Notamacropus eugenii: one gene and its partner. The protein of the gene in region 2 interacts with the protein of the main gene of each other region in a biochemical or structural test. Links are inferred from orthologs where the notes say so. Each region holds a gene or a part of one and is shown on either strand. Other genes may lie near its edges.

Region 1 (7,896 bases), on a different chromosome or scaffold from region 2:
TCCTCAGAGAGCTCTCCCTGCATCGCATGTCCTCCTCCCCCTCACTATTTAATCCTTCCCACGTGTTTCAGGGCCTCTCCACTCTCTGCAGGCCTGCAGCAAAGCTTACTGTCTGTGTCTCTCTCACTGGACTGCCTGCCTGCATTAATATTGGTTCCAAGAGACTGAAGGTCGAGTAGTACAAATACCAGACTGGGGATCACAAGATCTGGTCCTGGCTCTGTTGCTAACTTATTTTGAGACCTTGGACAAGTCCCCTCCCTTCTCCAGGCTTCAGTTTCCCCTTGAGAGAATTGGATTTGATCTCTAGGGGTCCTTTAAACTCTGATGTTCTGTTCTAAGGGCCCTCCCAGCTCTGACATCCTAAGTTCTAAAGATTCTTCTAAGGTTAGAGACTTTCTATCTTCTAAGGAACTTCCCAGCTCTCACATTCTATGTTCTTGGGCACTACCCAACTCTTTCCATAAGCTAAGGCCTATTTTAGCTCCAGCAGTCTATATGTTCTAAGGCTCTTCCCAACTTTGACATACTACAGCATTTTCTAGGGCCCCTTCTAAGCTCTACTATTCTAGGTGCTAAGGCCTGTTCCAGAAATTTGTGACAATTTATGATTCTTTATCTTGTCTAAACTCCCTAAAGATGGGAAACCATTGCTTCTCCCTCTTCTGTCTTCCTACAGGTCCCAAATACATGATTGGATATGCAGCAAATGTTCAATTAGGACTAGATGACTGTTGGTCATCCCCAATAGAATTGTGTCCTTGGGTACTTGTAAGAGCATACTTTGCTTTGTTAGGTTTTGGTCCTTACTGAGAATGGAGGTGATAAGTGAGGAGCATCTCTGGCTTGATTCTCTAGGCATCTGGTCTTATGGCCTGACCTTGGAGAGTCAGGATCTACTGATACAGTAGCTCTAGCTCAGGAATCATAGCAAATGACTTGACTTGCTTTTGCCCATAAGATCAGTCTAGAACCTAGTGAGCAGAGCTGAAACGAGTACATAGAAGTCTAGTTGGGGAAAGATCAATATACGAAAGAATTTCCTAGCTGTCAGAGCCAGCCAACAATGGGATGGAATGTTCTGATGGGTAGTGAGCTCCACATTGCTGCAAGTCCACAGACAGATGCAAGATGACCACTGGTGGATGATGTTTGTAGAGGAGATCAGACTTCAACAACAAGGTCTCTCAGGTTCCTTTCAGCTCTATTCCTTTCATTTTCTGAAAAATCATAATCCTTGATCTCAGAACAGATAGACTGGAAGAAGGTCAGGAAAGCAAAGAAAGGACCTAGACCACACCCTTAAAACTGCTTTGTCTGGTAGGCAGAGATTTCAAACAGCTCTGGTCATTTTCCTGTTCCCTACCAACCCTGTCCTAGAGCTTTCTGGGCATACAACACCCAGATACATCACCCAGAGGGCTAGAAGTTGGCAGATTTCCCAGGAGGTCTCAACTTCAGATAGGAGCAGGTGAGATGGGAGGTGAGGTCATACTGCCCTGTATGTTTCCTGGTTAATGCAGAGAGTTGGCTCCTTTCAAGTCCTGCCCCCTTCTCCTTTGGTTTCCTTTGTCACTGGGCCTATAGCAGAGTAGGATCCTCCACCCTGCTCTAGGTCTTTGACTTTCACTGGAACACCTTGCCCTCGGGGATGAAGGGTGGAGCTGGTGAATGTATCCTTTTAAAGAAGTTACTAAGGGCTGGGCATCTCAGAGCTTCTGGGGAGCCAGGAAAATGGATCACTTGTGCTCTGTGGGGTTGATTTGGAACAGTCTCTAGCCTCAGATGTGTATGGTGGGCCTACTTGTGTTTCCCACCCTAAGGAACTCCCAAACAAGAAGAGAGAGAGACCTCTCATTTATACCGCAGACCCCCTTCCTCTGAAAACTTGTATATTATTTCTAATCAGTGGGCTTGGGTTAAGAGTGGGCCTTCCTCCCCCAGTTCTCATCTTTCCCTCAGGGCCAGGTCACTGGGCAGAGTGCAGACAGACAAGAATAGAATGGAATGGCTCCATCTACCAAGGTCATAGGGAAGAGGAAGAGCACCTGAACACAGGCCAAGGGAAGAAGGTGAGCTGAGGGGTCCCAAGACTCGGATCTCATCTTTATTCAGTTCAGGAAAGCATCTTAGAGAAACTGGCATGACCAAACTCTTATGCTTGGTCACCCCAAAAAAAACTAGTTTGGAAGATGCAGAAGTAGATGTCAGAAAGAGTTTCCTAACAGAACTAACCCAAAGCAGATCAGAGTCCCCCAGGATGTGGTGGGTTCCCCCTCGCTCAAGGTTGTTAATGAAAGGCTGGATGACTACTCCTTAGTTGTATTGTAGGAGAGATTGTTGTTCAGGTACGAGTTGGACCAGATGGCCACCTAGGGACTGACAGGTCTGAGATTCTTTGATTCTGTAGCTGAGGGGACAGAACACTGGGCCTGGAGTCAGGAAGACTGACCAAGTTCAAATCCAGCCTCAGACACTTATTAGCTGTTTGACCCTGGACAAGTTATATAACCTCTCTTTGCCTCAACTTCCCCAACTATAAAATGGGGGTAATAGTAGCACAAGTTGTTATGAAGATCAAATGAGATATTTGTAAGGTGCCTGGCACATAATAGGTACTTAGTAAATGCATGTTTCCTTCTTTCTTTAGTTACTTCCTTCTGCATTTGTACATGGGGTGTTCAGGGAGGACCAGCACCTCTGGCATGAGGGCTGCTCATCCACCCTTGATGTTCACCTCTCACCTAATTCTCACCTGTCACTCCAAGAAGCTGTAGCATGAGCAGTGGTCACACCTTGGTAAAATCCCCTTGGCAGACAGGATAAACCAGGATGAGGATACCTGACAGACCGAAAAACTATCAGCAAGTTAAGGGGATATCTACCCCAAGCTTATGAAGACTTACCTGGAGGAATGGGCAGATGAGAATAATTTGTTCCACCGACCATGAAGGCAGCTGAAGCAAGCTCTGTGGAGCACTTAGAGCTTGGTCAGACATTGAAGATGCCAAGGTCATCCACTGCATCTCAGGCTATCACCAATCATCCTGACTTCGCTCCTGCCACTGGACTTGGATGACTCAAGAAGAGAGTGAGGCTGATGACTTTGTGCAACTTTTCCTCACTTAAATCCAATTCATGAGCAAGTGAAGACATCACTCAATATGTAACTGGTGCTTTTTCAAAATGAAGGACAAACAATAGTTTGGATTAGCTGGCTTCTTCCAGATGAGATTCTGAGAGGAAGCTGAAGTATCCTACCCAACATCACATAGGTAGTAAAATGGCAGAGCTGGGCCTTAAACTCAGGTCTCCTAACACCAAATTCCATACTCTTTTCACTCCCCACAGATCTCCTGCCTCTAAACTCAGATGGGGCAAGCAACACAAAGTAGTCAAAATTGCTCCAGATTTGGAGTCAGGGGTTCTGGGTTCAAGAGCCAGTTCAGCTACTACCTGTAGTAACATGAGTTATATAGGGGTAGAGACAGGAAGAGAATCACAGGGAGGCGGTGTGTGGGCTAGGTCACCTAACTGACACTGTCCCTTATTGTGCAGGGATTAGGCAACACAGATATTCAAATATTGAAACTGGGAATGAATTGTCAGCCTGACCTGGTTTTTGCCAGGTATCCACCCTGGGGGAAGGGAGCATCTGTCCCTGCCTTTGGAGAGCCTCCTCGACTAATAGCCTCTGGTCCCAGGAGCTCCCCACTCAATGGAGGAGATAGGTCAAAAATAGATAACCACAGCAGGATCTTAAGGGGACAGCAAAGGTTGGGGATTATATTATACCCAGTGGAGTTCAGCCAATCCAGTTTCCCCACGGGAGAGGGTTGGAAGGTACAAATGAAAGAAAAGGATGGGGCTAGGGTGTGGCAGACAGGGAGGGGATTGTTCCAGTCCCCTCCCCCACCCCCCCAGGAGGCCCTGCCTGAGGCTTTAGTTATTTAATGTAGTCACAAGCTGACAAAGGACCTCAAGGCAGAAGGGGTGGGACAAGGATTTATGTTTCCTGCAGGTGTTAGTGGCCTGGTCTGAGGTTTGAGGGAGGCACCCATGGTGCTCTAGGTGGCTCAGAGATTCCCTGGGGCAGTGGCCTCAGCATTGAGGAACAGCACTCAGCTGGTGAATTCCAAGGTGGACCTCATGGGTAGAGGGGACCACTGGGTTATGGCCTCTGGTCACCAGTATGGTAGGGAAGACTACAGTAGCCTCTCTGCAACTTTAGACACCGTTGGCCATCCTCCACACCCAGACTCTTTCCTTTCAGAACTTTTCTGACACAGCTTTCTTTGGTCTACCTTCACCTGTCTGTGTGGGCTTCTTCTCTGCCTCCTTTGCTGTATGGTCATCATCATCCCCACCACCCCACCACCTCTTATACTTCGTGTTGCTACAGGCTCTGACTGGGGCCCTCTTCTTTTCTCTATACCCTCTGTCTTGGTAATCTCACCACCTCCTTATAGGATTACTATCTCCTCTCTGCAGATATGTCTATCCAGCTGTGGTTGTTCCAGGTTCTGGGCCCACATCACCAACAATCTCTGTACACGTTCAATTGGATGACCTGTAGGCATGTGAAACTCAACATGTCCAATCACAATTCATTATCTTCTCCCCAGACTTGAGAGATTGGAAGGACAGTAATGCTCTCAATAATAGGGGAGTTGGGGAAATGGGTAGGTTTGAGAAGTAGATATGACCCTACTCATTTCCCCAACTTCTCCATTTCTATTGAGGGTATTATCATCTTTCCAGTCTCTCAAGTCTGTCACCTTGGAGCTAGCCTTGAGTCTTCATCTTCTTCTAGACAGACCAATGGTCAAGCCTTGTCCATTCTACAGCCTCAGTATCTCCATCTCTCCCTACTCTCCCCCTATATTATAACCACCCTAGCCTATCCTGGAACCACCTCTTATCACCTGTTGTCCTAACTACTGAAGTAGCCTCCTAACTTGCCTCTCTATATCTGGACTCTATCCTCTTCAATCCAACCTCCACACAGCCTCTTACTGAAGGCGTTTTCAGTATGATGCCAGGCTGCCTTTCCAGGTTGATACATGACTCACGTTCACATATTTTACACAGCAGTCAAACTGGCCTGCTTGCTGTTTCCTTGTACACAACATTCCTAACTTCCATCTCAATACCTTTGCACAGCTCCCACAGGCCTAGAATGTTCTCCCTTCCCATCTTTGCCTCTTAGAATGCAGAGCTTCCTCGCAATCTCCGATCACCTGGGGCTCAAAGATTTTCCTGAACCCTGTGATAGCAAATGCTCCCTATGAAATTACATGGTATATGTGATGTATTTACTTACATGTATGAATGTAGATATTGTTTCTCCATTAGAAAATAAGATTCTTGAGAGCAGAAACTATTTCCTTTTTGTTTCTATCCCTAGCACTTAGCATAATGGCTGACACATAGTAATTTTTTGTTGTTGTTTCAGATGTGACTGACTCATCATGACCCCATTTGGGGCTTTCTTGGCAAAGACGCTGGAGTGGTTTGCCATTTCCTCGCTCATCTTACAGATGAGGACACTGAGGCAACCAACACTAAATGATTTGCCCTGGGTCACAGCTAGTAAGTATCTGAGGCTAGATTTGAACTCATGAAGAAGAATCTTCCTGAGTCCAGGCCCAACAGCTCCATCCACTTGGCCATCTAGATGCCAAAGTGAAAATTTTAGCACACCCTAAACTGTATATACTTAGTAGCTTACAAATCATTTTACTCACAACTTCATGAAGTTTTTCCCCCGTCTTGATCTAAAGCTTTGTTTTCATTTGTGTATGGAACACAGGATGTGTCCTGCCACCAAACCAGACCCAGATACCTCCCATAACGTATAATCTTACAAGGTTGCTAGAGATGTTCAGTGACTTGCCCACAGTCACACAACTAGTTCTGGTCCCATTTTAGGTGGTGGCCCAGTGGATAAATAAACAGGACTTAGAGTCAGGAAGACCTGAATCCAAGTCCTGCCTCAAACACTTACTGGCTGTGTGACCCTGGGCAAGTCACTTAACCCTCTTTGCCTCAGTCTTCATTTATAAAATGGGGATAGCAAATAGCACTTACCTCCCAGAGTTGTTGTGAGGATCAAATGAGACAACCTAAAAGTGTTATTACTGTTATTAATCATGCCTATTTTATAGATGAGGAAAGTGAGAGAAGTTTAGTGATTTGACCAGTTACATAGCCATGAGATATCTGAGGCTGGATTTGAACTCCTGACTTCCTGACTTCAGGTCCAGTGTATAACAACTCACAGTTCCATAGCATTTTAAGGTTTGCAAAGCTCTTCACCTGTATTATTTCATTTGAGGCTTATAATAAGTCTTGGAAGTACGTTCTCAAATGAGTCTATGTAAAGTGCTTTGTAACCTGTTTCCTAGAAACTGTCTGAGATTTTGGGAGGGCATTGAGAAAGCCAGTCTCTTTTCCAGAGGCCGAGGACAAGCTAGGGCTGGGGGAAGGGACAGGATGTTCTTGGAGGCGTTAGGAGAGTTCTTTTCAACTTGAGAAAAGTGACCTCCAAACATGCTCCCTCACCTAGGGCTGGCTTAAGCCTTTGTGGCCCCGTGGTTTGACCTGTGGCTTCCTCTGAACTATTTGGTGCGACTAGAGAAAGAAAGGGTCAGCAAGGAGCTGTGAACGGTGGGGGGCCGAGAAGAGACTAAAGGGTAGGCAATAATATCCAGCTTCCTGGGTCCCCGGAATGCATGTGTGCCCTGCCAAAGGGTCCAAGCCCACCGTCCTCCTGGCCGGCTACAGGAACATAGCCCTCAAGCCGGTACTGCCCCATAGCCGTCTCACATGGACGTCTCGCCCGGATCCCTAGCCTTCTACGCCCACCGGATGTTCTCGGACCCTCACTTCGGTGAGGGCAGGCTCTGGGTCTGACCGCGGCCAGTCATTAGACTCTAGCACCACCCCCAGACAGCTCCATGACCAGAATCAGCTCAGCTCCCAGCCTCTAGCCACTCCCCACCCCAGATCAGCCCAGTGCTCAGTAACTGGCACCCCTCCGCCCTTCATAGGCCCCACCCCCGTCTCTGGCACCTCCCAGACCTCGCCCTCCACACCTGGCCAAGTCCCTAAACCCAGTCCTGGCTCCAAAATCTGCCCTACCTGCAAGACAAGCCCCGCCCCAGGAGAGTCCCAGTCCAGTTCTCCTCTGTTTTAGACTAGTTCCCGTCCCCAGGAAGAAGTCCTACTCCCCAACCGATCCATGCATCTTTCCCATCGTTCCTCTCGACCTCAAGTTAATTCCTGGTCCCCATCCCCGGGATTCTCGCCCCTTCCCACCCTTCCCCAGTTTCAGCCCCATCCCTAGCCCAGATCTAGTCCCACGCCCGGAGCACTCTTTTGCTCCAGTGCTTTCCCTATTTGTGACCACCCAGACCACCGTCTACCTACACACAGGGTCCCCACCTCGTGCTTGGCCCTTCCCTTGGGACCCAGGGCCCTGTTCTACGTCCTGCACCTGGCGATGCACATCACTCCTGAGGAGAAGACTGATGTAGGCCCGGAAGCTAAACGATGAAGTAAGTGCTGCTGGTGAGCCACGGAGTGCTGCGTAGAGAGCTTCACTGACTCAAGAACTCCTGGTGCCCGCCTCATCTCCATGAAGAACACCTGCGGCGTCATCACAGCTGCCTCCGTTCCCATCCTGTAGTGACCGTGACCATATCCGTGATTGTGACGGTGTGACACAGATTCCTTCCGCAGGCAGATCTTTTCATTTAACAGATGAGGAAACTGAGATCCATTATAAGGGAAGTCGAATCAGCAGGCCTAGAACAGGGGTGGAGAACCTGGTCTAGAATGTTAGAACTAGGAGGGATTCTGGAAAACATCTAGTTCCAAACTCTTTCCACAAAT
Region 2 (7,920 bases):
TGACCCTGCTTTTCTGAGGTCTGGACCTTGATTCACTGATACCCTTTAGCCTCAAATAGGCCTCCCCTTTCTCGGGGGGATCACTCATCTCCCCAGCACCCACGTAGGCCCTCCAAGCCTCACCCAGGTCTTTACATTGGCCCTTCTGATTTCATCCCAGTCCTGCTTTGAGATCCCCCTTCAGGCATGCCCTGGCCCCAGCCCTTGGCAGTAGCACCCTTCTGTACCCGGCTGTACACTGGGAGTGCGAGACTGCTGGGGCTGTTAGACCGGGGGAGCATTTGGGGCTTGGGGGGTGGAATGGGCTTGAGGTTCCTTGGAGGGGGCACAGCATAGTCGTCCATAGCAGGGTTATAGGGGAGCTCGTAGCCCTCCTCCCGAACCCGGGCTCGCTGGCACCAGGCATCCCTGGGCTCCTGGGGCTTGTCATAGAGGCCTGGAGCCGGGGCTGGGCTCTGGCCCTCAGGCTCATCATAAATAGGCTCCTTCTTGACTCTTCCCAGCCTTGTATCTTTAAGCTGCTGCTGCACCTGTTCAAACAAGCCCCAGTAGAGGGGGGAGCCTCCTCCAGCCCCATGTCCTGTCCTCTGGCCTGAACTGTCCACAGGATCTGAGTACAAGGGGTCTGAAGTGGAGTCAGGCAGCGACCGAAGGGCATCCAAGGGCTCTGAGTAGAGGGCAGGGCCATGAGCGTGGGGATCTTCAAGGCCCTGGGAGGCAGCCCCTGCTGTCCCCACCTCTGATGAGCCAGGCCACTGCTGATCCAGGCCTGCGCCGGTTCCAGAAACAATGCCAGCTTGAACCTTTTGCCTTTGGATGGCAGCCTCCACAGCCTGAAAGATGTCATTCCCTTGTGAAGTATGGAAAGTGAAGGTTCCAGGGCCTGAGGGGCATCTCCGTCCAGCCTCGAAGGAGAACATGGCCTGGAGGCAGACGAAGAGGGCAGAGGTGAGCAAACTTATGCACAGGAGAGAAGAGGCTTACCTGAGGTCATCCTAGCAGCAGTCAGCTCTTGGGCCTTAGGGGACCCACCACACACTCCTAGCCTTCCCCTCTGTATATCCTCTGCTTCCTTCTATAGTGGCACCTCTGACCCATCCCAAGCCCTTACCCGATCCCGGCCATATCGACGGAGAAGAGTATAGGGCCAGGTGAGCAGGGGCTCCTTCTTCTGACCCTGCCCCCCCAGCACCAGCAGACTCAGACCATTGGCCTCCACCCTGAGCAGGTAGTGTCCCTGCAGCCCACAATGCTCAGATGCCTCTGTTTTCTGTACAGTCACCCAGAACTCAGACCCTGGGGAGAGAGGAAGGGTCACACTGAAACATTCCCAGATGGAAAAGGGGAAAGACACTCAGGTCCTAACAGGGACTGGATCATACCTAGACACCAGACCCACAAGAGCTTCACGCCCCCTCCCCCCAATCCTCCAGGTGACCTTCAGCCCCATGTGAGGGCTGTGGAATCCCTATTCCAGACCCATGGTATGCCCTCTCTTCTCATGTCCCTGGACCTCCCTCTCCCCATCCCTTTCTCCTTTTACCCCTACCTTGCCCATGGGGGCTGTACAGGGAGTTCTCCTGCATCTCCATTGAAGAGGGCCCCGAAGAGCTTTCACCAGGAGCCAGAGACCAGCAGCCTTTCTGCAGGGGAGAAAGCATCAGTGTTTTCCACCTGGGGTCTGAGTCCAATCAAGTTGGGGAGTGGGGGGGAGGAGACACTGACTCCGACCTTGAACCTGCTCCCTCACCAAATGGACTCCCCTAGACAGCATCCCCAATCATTCAACCCTCTCACCGGAAAGGCAGTCTGGCAGAGCATTTGCACCCAGGCAACACTGGCAGGGCCCTCAGCTGCCAGGAAATGGGAGCGCTGAGCAGTGTCCAGTCGGAAGACCGATGTGCCAGGTCCTGGGGGGCTGTCCAAGGCCACCGGGGCCACACTCACGCAGTCCGACAAACGAATCACTCGGCAGTCTAGGCGGCGAGAGCCTCCCCACCCGCCTCCAGAGCCTGACCCTTTGTGCTCAAAGAACTCAAGCCGGGCAACTCCGCTGGCACTGGAGGGGTACAAGGCTGCCCAGGCCTTCTTCCACTTCTATAGTGGGGAGAACGTGGGGAATGCTTTGAGAAGCCATTTGGGAAGAGGAGAGCATGGGGAAGGTACGGAGGAGGGTCATGGGATGCCCGGGACTTAGCTCTACCTTTGGGACGAGGGAGGGTGGAGGTCAGCGTACAGAGATCACGGAGAGGAAGAGATACAAGGAAATACTACGGGAAGGCCCTGGGAAAAAGGGATGTGGACATACTGAAGGAGAGGGAAGTTAGGGGAACTGGCTCTCCGTATAACACAGCAGCCTCATCTTCCTACCCGTTTGGGCAGAAACCCTGGTGAAGAGATACGTGAACACGCAGGGAAAACCAGGAAATGAGAGAGAAATGAAGGGACGAGACGGGCTGAACATGCAGGCTCGCCCTGCATCACCCTTCCTCTACGGGGGCAGGCAAGGGAACCCCATACAGAAGGTGGGGGGGCGGGAGGGCTGAGGGCAATGACAGGGGCCATGACTGGCACAGGTCTCCAACTTCGGAGGGAGGCCTCCCGCAAAGACCCCAGGCCAGGAGCTGAGGATCCGAGCCCTGCCCCAGCCGCCCCCCAATCCTGGGAGAGGTGGGGTTTCCTAAAGGAGGCGGAGCTCCCTGGTGGGGGTGGGCGCATTTCCGTCCCGCCGAGGCTAGAGGAAGCGTGGTGGGGCTGGCACTTCCTCCGGAGTTTGGGGAGAAACTTCTCCGGGACCAGCCTCGGGCCCCGCTGCGGCCCTCCCGCTCCCAGCCCAGGGGCTCCCCGCAGGCCGCCGCCCCGCGGCCCCCGCCCCTGCCCCTGCCGCCACCTTGGCCCCGAAGCGCTGACTCTGCACGAAGAGCGGTCCCTCCATGGCAGCCCCGTCCATGGCGGCGCCGTCCATGGCCCCAGGCGGCTCCGGACGCTTCCTGGCGCTGCGGGGCGGGGGCGGGGCGGGGCCCGCGGGGCGGGGCGGGGCTGGGGGGAGGGATCACCCCCATCCCGAACCCCCAGCTCCCCGCCCCGAGTGCCCGAGCCGGCCTCCGGGCTTCCTGCGGGACCCGGAGACGGGGACTGGACGGGAGCCGCCGGGGCGGCCAACATTCCTGCGGCCGGCCGGCCCCGACGCCCGGAAAGGAAAGAAGTGGGAGGACTCGGGAGACCCACCCTGCCTCCCCACACGCACGCCCGGCACAGTCAGCACACGCTCAGCCTCCTCCTCCTGCGGTGCCTACTGGGTGCAAGACCCGGGGCACCACGCCTCTGCACCGCAGGCTCGAGCCCCAGCAGGGAGGCTCCCTCGGGGCAGGTTCCCGGCCCGGGACGGCGAGGACAGCTCCGCTGCCTCGCAGAGCTTCCCCTCCATCGTCCGCAAGTCAGACCCAGGCGTGTGTCAGGCTCCGCAGGCGCAGCGCGCACGCAGTCCGTGCAGACAGACAGACAGACAGACACACACACACACACACACACACACACACACACACACACACACACACACACACACACACACACACACACACACGTGTTCAGGGTCCAAGCCAGCCCACACTCCACCGAAACCTCAGGGGGTGAGGGGTGGAAGAAGGCAGGGGCCTTGGGGGATGGGCAAAGGGGTGAAGTTCGAGAAATGAACACAGGCTTCTCCAAGTTCCAAGCCAGGGGCTTCGCCCAACACGGGCCCCCGGGTGTCCTCCAGCCTCAGCCAGCGGGGGAAGAAAGCCTCATTGAGCCGAGAGGCCAGGGGCGGAGGGGAGGAGGCGAGGCTGGGGCCTGCCTGGCCAGGGAGGGGGAGGGACAGACAGAGTGGAACGGTGGGAGGGATTGAGGGAGGGGCGTCCAGTCTCCCAGAGCCCGGCACTTTCTTGGAAGTCCCTGGGTTAGGCTCTGAGGCCGGGACTGGCTTCCCCCATCCCATTCCTTCGGACGCAACTTCCAGCGCAGAGGTACGGGCGCTTGGGGAGAGGGGAACAGAGCAGACAAGCAGGGGAATGAGGAATGAGGGGGGCTGGGAGGGTGGAGGGATGGATGATGGTCACTGGGAAAGAAGTGGGAGCACTGGAGGATGGGGGGCCAGGGGCCAGCGGGGAATGGGATTTACAAGGAAAATGTGAGGAAAATGGGAGTAGAGAGTTGGGTGTAGGACAACTAGGAGTGTGTGGGTAACAGTAATAGGGGATATAGGAGGGTGTAGGAAATAGGGGGACCCAGGTAATAAGGATGAAGAAACGAACAGGAGGGTGCTGGAGACGGGAAAGATCGGGGTGAACATAGGATGGGGGACACAGGGTATAGGGGGCTTGTGGGGGTGAAGATAACCGACACTTGAAGTTGTTTTATACTTTCTGTCATCGGCCAGTTCCCGGTTCTGTGAAAGAGTCGTTTGATGACCAGTGCAGGGGAAGTGGGAGAGACAGAAAGGGGTCCAGCCTGGCAGGGGGCAGAGAGTGTGGCAGCCAAGGGAGGGGATGAGAACCGTGTCTGAGGGTCGGACAGGGTAGGAGGCCAGCAGGGTGGAAAGGGAAAAAGAGGACAAGAGTCTGCTGGGAGTCTGGCCCAGAAAAGTCAAAGTTTCCATAGAGGACTGGAGGGAGAGTAGAGGAGAAGGCTAGAGCTGGGGTGGGGGTGGGGAGGGGGGATAGGGCAGGGTCCAGTTTGCTCCCACCAAAGGCTCCTTTGCAGGGGATAGAGATGCCAAACCCCAAAGTCAGCTGTTCCTATCCCATCCCCCCAGGGATTGGGCCTGTCTCTCTGGCCTAGTCTCTGTTGCCTCAGTAACCGCTTGGACCTTCACGCTCCCTCCTTTTCCTTCCCTCCCTCTCTCCCAGTGGCTCCCACTGCTCCGCCCCATCCCTCAACCCTGGTCCCTCTGGGTCCCCGTGTTCCCCTGGGACAGGTAACCAAGGAGCCTCAGTGTGTGACTGTCAAAGTGGCATCATCCAGGACCTTGTTTCCTGTGTCACTATCAACATAGAGGCTTATGACTTCTGGTGTGGGCAGCTGTGTGTGATCCATGCAGCTAAAATTATGTGTGCCTGCCTGGGACTCTGTGTGTGTGTGTGTGTGTGTGTGTGTGTGTGCGCGCGCGCGTGTGTGTGTGCATGTGTGTGTGTGTAACATAGTGTGAATTGTGTTTCTCTGAGCCTCTCTTGCACATGCTCTGATGAGCTTGCGTTTACTTCCCAGCTCTGAGCATAAAGGGCTGCTTTCTTAACCACTATTCCTCCTCCTCAATCAAGATTCAACAGAAACCTATCTCATTGACTTCTGTTTACCATTCTTACATCACTTTCATGCTGTGTCTCCTAATCAGTCTGTCATTCTTCATCTGTTGAGTTCACAGGTTATCTCCTTCCTTCCCTCCCTCACCTGTCTCTCTGCCTTACTGTGTCTCTATGTCTCTGTGTGTCATCAAAGGTGTTTTTGTCTCTCATTCTCTTAATTCAGGTCTCCATCTCTACCATATTGTCACTCTGTCTCTGTCACCATCTTGCTATCACTAAAGTCTGGGTTTCTATTTCTCTTAGACCATGTCTGACACACAGGTCGCCGGGGGCCAGCAGTGGGGCCTTCGGGGACTGCTTCTATGCATGTTATGTACCTGGTGCCTGGGAACCCCCTCTCCATCCCCAAGCCCTGCATCGAGCACTGGTAGCAAGCTTCGATTCCGCCTAGCTGGTTTTCCTCGGAAGCACTATGAGGGCCGTGTGGAAATACAACGGGCTGGCGAGTGGGGTACCATCTGTGATGATGACTTCACACTGCAAGCAGCTCATGTGCTGTGCCGGGAGCTGGGCTTTACCGAAGCCACGGGGTGGGCCCACAGTGCCAAGTATGGCCCAGGCACAGGTGAGAACAAGCACCAAGAAAGGCCACGGAACAGGGAAAAGGCACCAAGTCCGGCTGAGGGTGGAAGTTCAGAAAAACATGGAAAAAGATATAGTCTGCAGGCGATACAAAATCAGAAGTATTGGAGGCAGGGGAGGAAGGAGATGATTGATCATTGAGTTACTATATTGACAAAGTCCAAATCTAAAAAAATATATGATTGGACCAAATCTAATATATTGAAATGCAATAAATACATATGTAAAGTCAGGAATGGTTCAAAAAATCAACTGCACTTCCCCAACAGGCATGAACAGATAAACTATTCTTAAATTGAGAATCTTCGGGATTTAGTGGACTGAGTGCAAGTTCTATATGTCAAGCAAAAAAGGTCAAGTGACTGAAGGCAGCGTCAATAGAGGCGGAGTGCCCAGAATGAGGAAGGAGGCATTAGTACCCTTGACCTCTGCTCTGGTCAGACCTTCCTTGGTATACTGTGTCCAGTTCTGGGCACCACACTTGAGGATATTGATAAGCACATCTAGAGGAAAAAAGAAACATACACAATAAAGAGAAACTGGGAATTGAAGGAACATAGTACTCAGGCTAGAGAACATTATTCTAGAGTCAGATTCCACCTCTTATGAGCAAAGCGCAACCTCCTTGGACCTCACTTTCCCTATATGTAGAATAAGGTTGGAGTAGATGGTTTGACCTCTGAAGTTTCTTTGAATTCTAGGTTTATGATCCTAGGGAAAGAGAAGGCTTACTTATCAGGACATGGAAATAATCTAGAATCCTTAACAAGTGGTTATGCTGCTGCTTCTTGAACATTCCTGTGGACAGGAAACTCACTGTGGCATGAGGCAGCCCATCACGTTGCTAGACTGTTCTGATTGTTGGAAAATTATTTAGATGAGCCCCAATTTCATCCTATAACCTATTCCAATTTCAGAGGCTGCTGGCCATGAATATCTTCAACTGCCCTCCATTCCCTACCCCACCCCCCAATGATACCTCTGCTTTTCCAGTACTTAGGTCTCCTGTAACCCTAAAAACAAACAACTCTCCCTTTATCATGCCCCTCTTCTCAAAGCATGGTCCTATATCTCTCTCCTTCCCTTAATTGCACAACTTCTGGACCTCCTCTTGCTCAGCCCACTTAAATCTGACTTCTATCCCCACAACTACTTAGTGAGTCTCTCCAAGGTCATCACCAGTGACCTTTTCATTGCCAGACCCCAAAAGCCTTTGCTCAGTTCTCTTCTACCTTGACATTTCTGTGCTATGTGAGAGGCAGGATTGGATGTGGAGTCTGGAAAACGCAGGTCTGAATCTTGCCTCTCCAACACTTCCTGGATGTATGGCCATGTGCAAATCACTTTAACCTCTGCTTTTCCTTGAGATCCTGTGATGTCTGTGGGTATTTATTATAGAGAAGATGGATTAGACTTATTCTGCTTTGGCCCCCAAAAGGCAGAATTCGGTACAATGAGTAAAAGTTACAGGGAGACAGATTGTACCTCAAATAACACTTTCCTAACAATTTGAACTGCTAAATAAACAAACAACAAAAAAAACCAGTGGACTTCTTCAGGAAACAGTGAGTTTGCACACATTCAGAAGTCCTGAAGAGGAATCTCAGGGAGGCTATACATAGAAAGGATTTCTATGCTGAGAAGGAGTTTGAACAAGGTTCCTCCCAACTATGAGATCCTTTCATTTTTAACTTTAGCCTGGAAAAAGAGCATGTCAAGGTAGGCCTGGATGTTACATGAAGGGGACTGATTGGGAGAGGGGGTAACCAGTGCCCTGAGCTTTGGACCAGGTCAGATGGGAGTGCTCATTCTGGCTCTTCCTCTAAATCATTGTGTGTCTTTGAGAAAGTCACTTCCTCTCTCTGGGACTCAGTTTTCCTCTCTGGAAAACAAAATAATTGGACTCAGTGGTTTCTAATCTCCCATCAAGTTTCAAATTCTATGATTCAGTGTGATTCTGTTCACTCCCCAGAGTCTCAAAATGAATCTGCTCTAG

Evidence for each region. The genes of interacting proteins can lie anywhere in the genome.
Region 1: the proteins of DOK1 (region 2) and FGR form a complex in vitro, tested with the Homo sapiens proteins (2 studies listed by BioGRID, with this or other methods). The link is inferred for Notamacropus eugenii from reciprocal best matches to the Homo sapiens genes DOK1 and FGR.

What each region holds. Positions count from the first base shown.
Region 1 is NC_092876.1:68,801,965-68,809,860, forward strand, and holds the start of FGR (tyrosine-protein kinase Fgr), read right to left. Parts: upstream 3,027-7,896; coding exon 2,907-3,026; exon of another isoform or gene 2,651-2,906; intron 2,073-2,650; exon of another isoform or gene 1,229-2,072; intron 1-1,228. UniProt on the Homo sapiens protein: Non-receptor tyrosine-protein kinase that transmits signals from cell surface receptors devoid of kinase activity and contributes to the regulation of immune responses, including neutrophil, monocyte, macrophage and mast cell functions, cytoskeleton remodeling in response to extracellular stimuli, phagocytosis, cell adhesion and migration.
Region 2 is NC_092877.1:46,850,517-46,858,436, reverse strand, and holds the start of DOK1 (docking protein 1), read right to left. Parts: upstream 2,966-7,920; coding exon 2,891-2,965; intron 2,098-2,890; coding exon 1,798-2,097; intron 1,644-1,797; coding exon 1,550-1,643; intron 1,297-1,549; coding exon 1,112-1,296; intron 924-1,111; coding exon 132-923; 3' UTR 1-131. Other genes in the region: LOXL3 (lysyl oxidase homolog 3), read left to right, coding at 5,589-5,907. UniProt on the Homo sapiens protein: DOK proteins are enzymatically inert adaptor or scaffolding proteins. They provide a docking platform for the assembly of multimolecular signaling complexes. DOK1 appears to be a negative regulator of the insulin signaling pathway.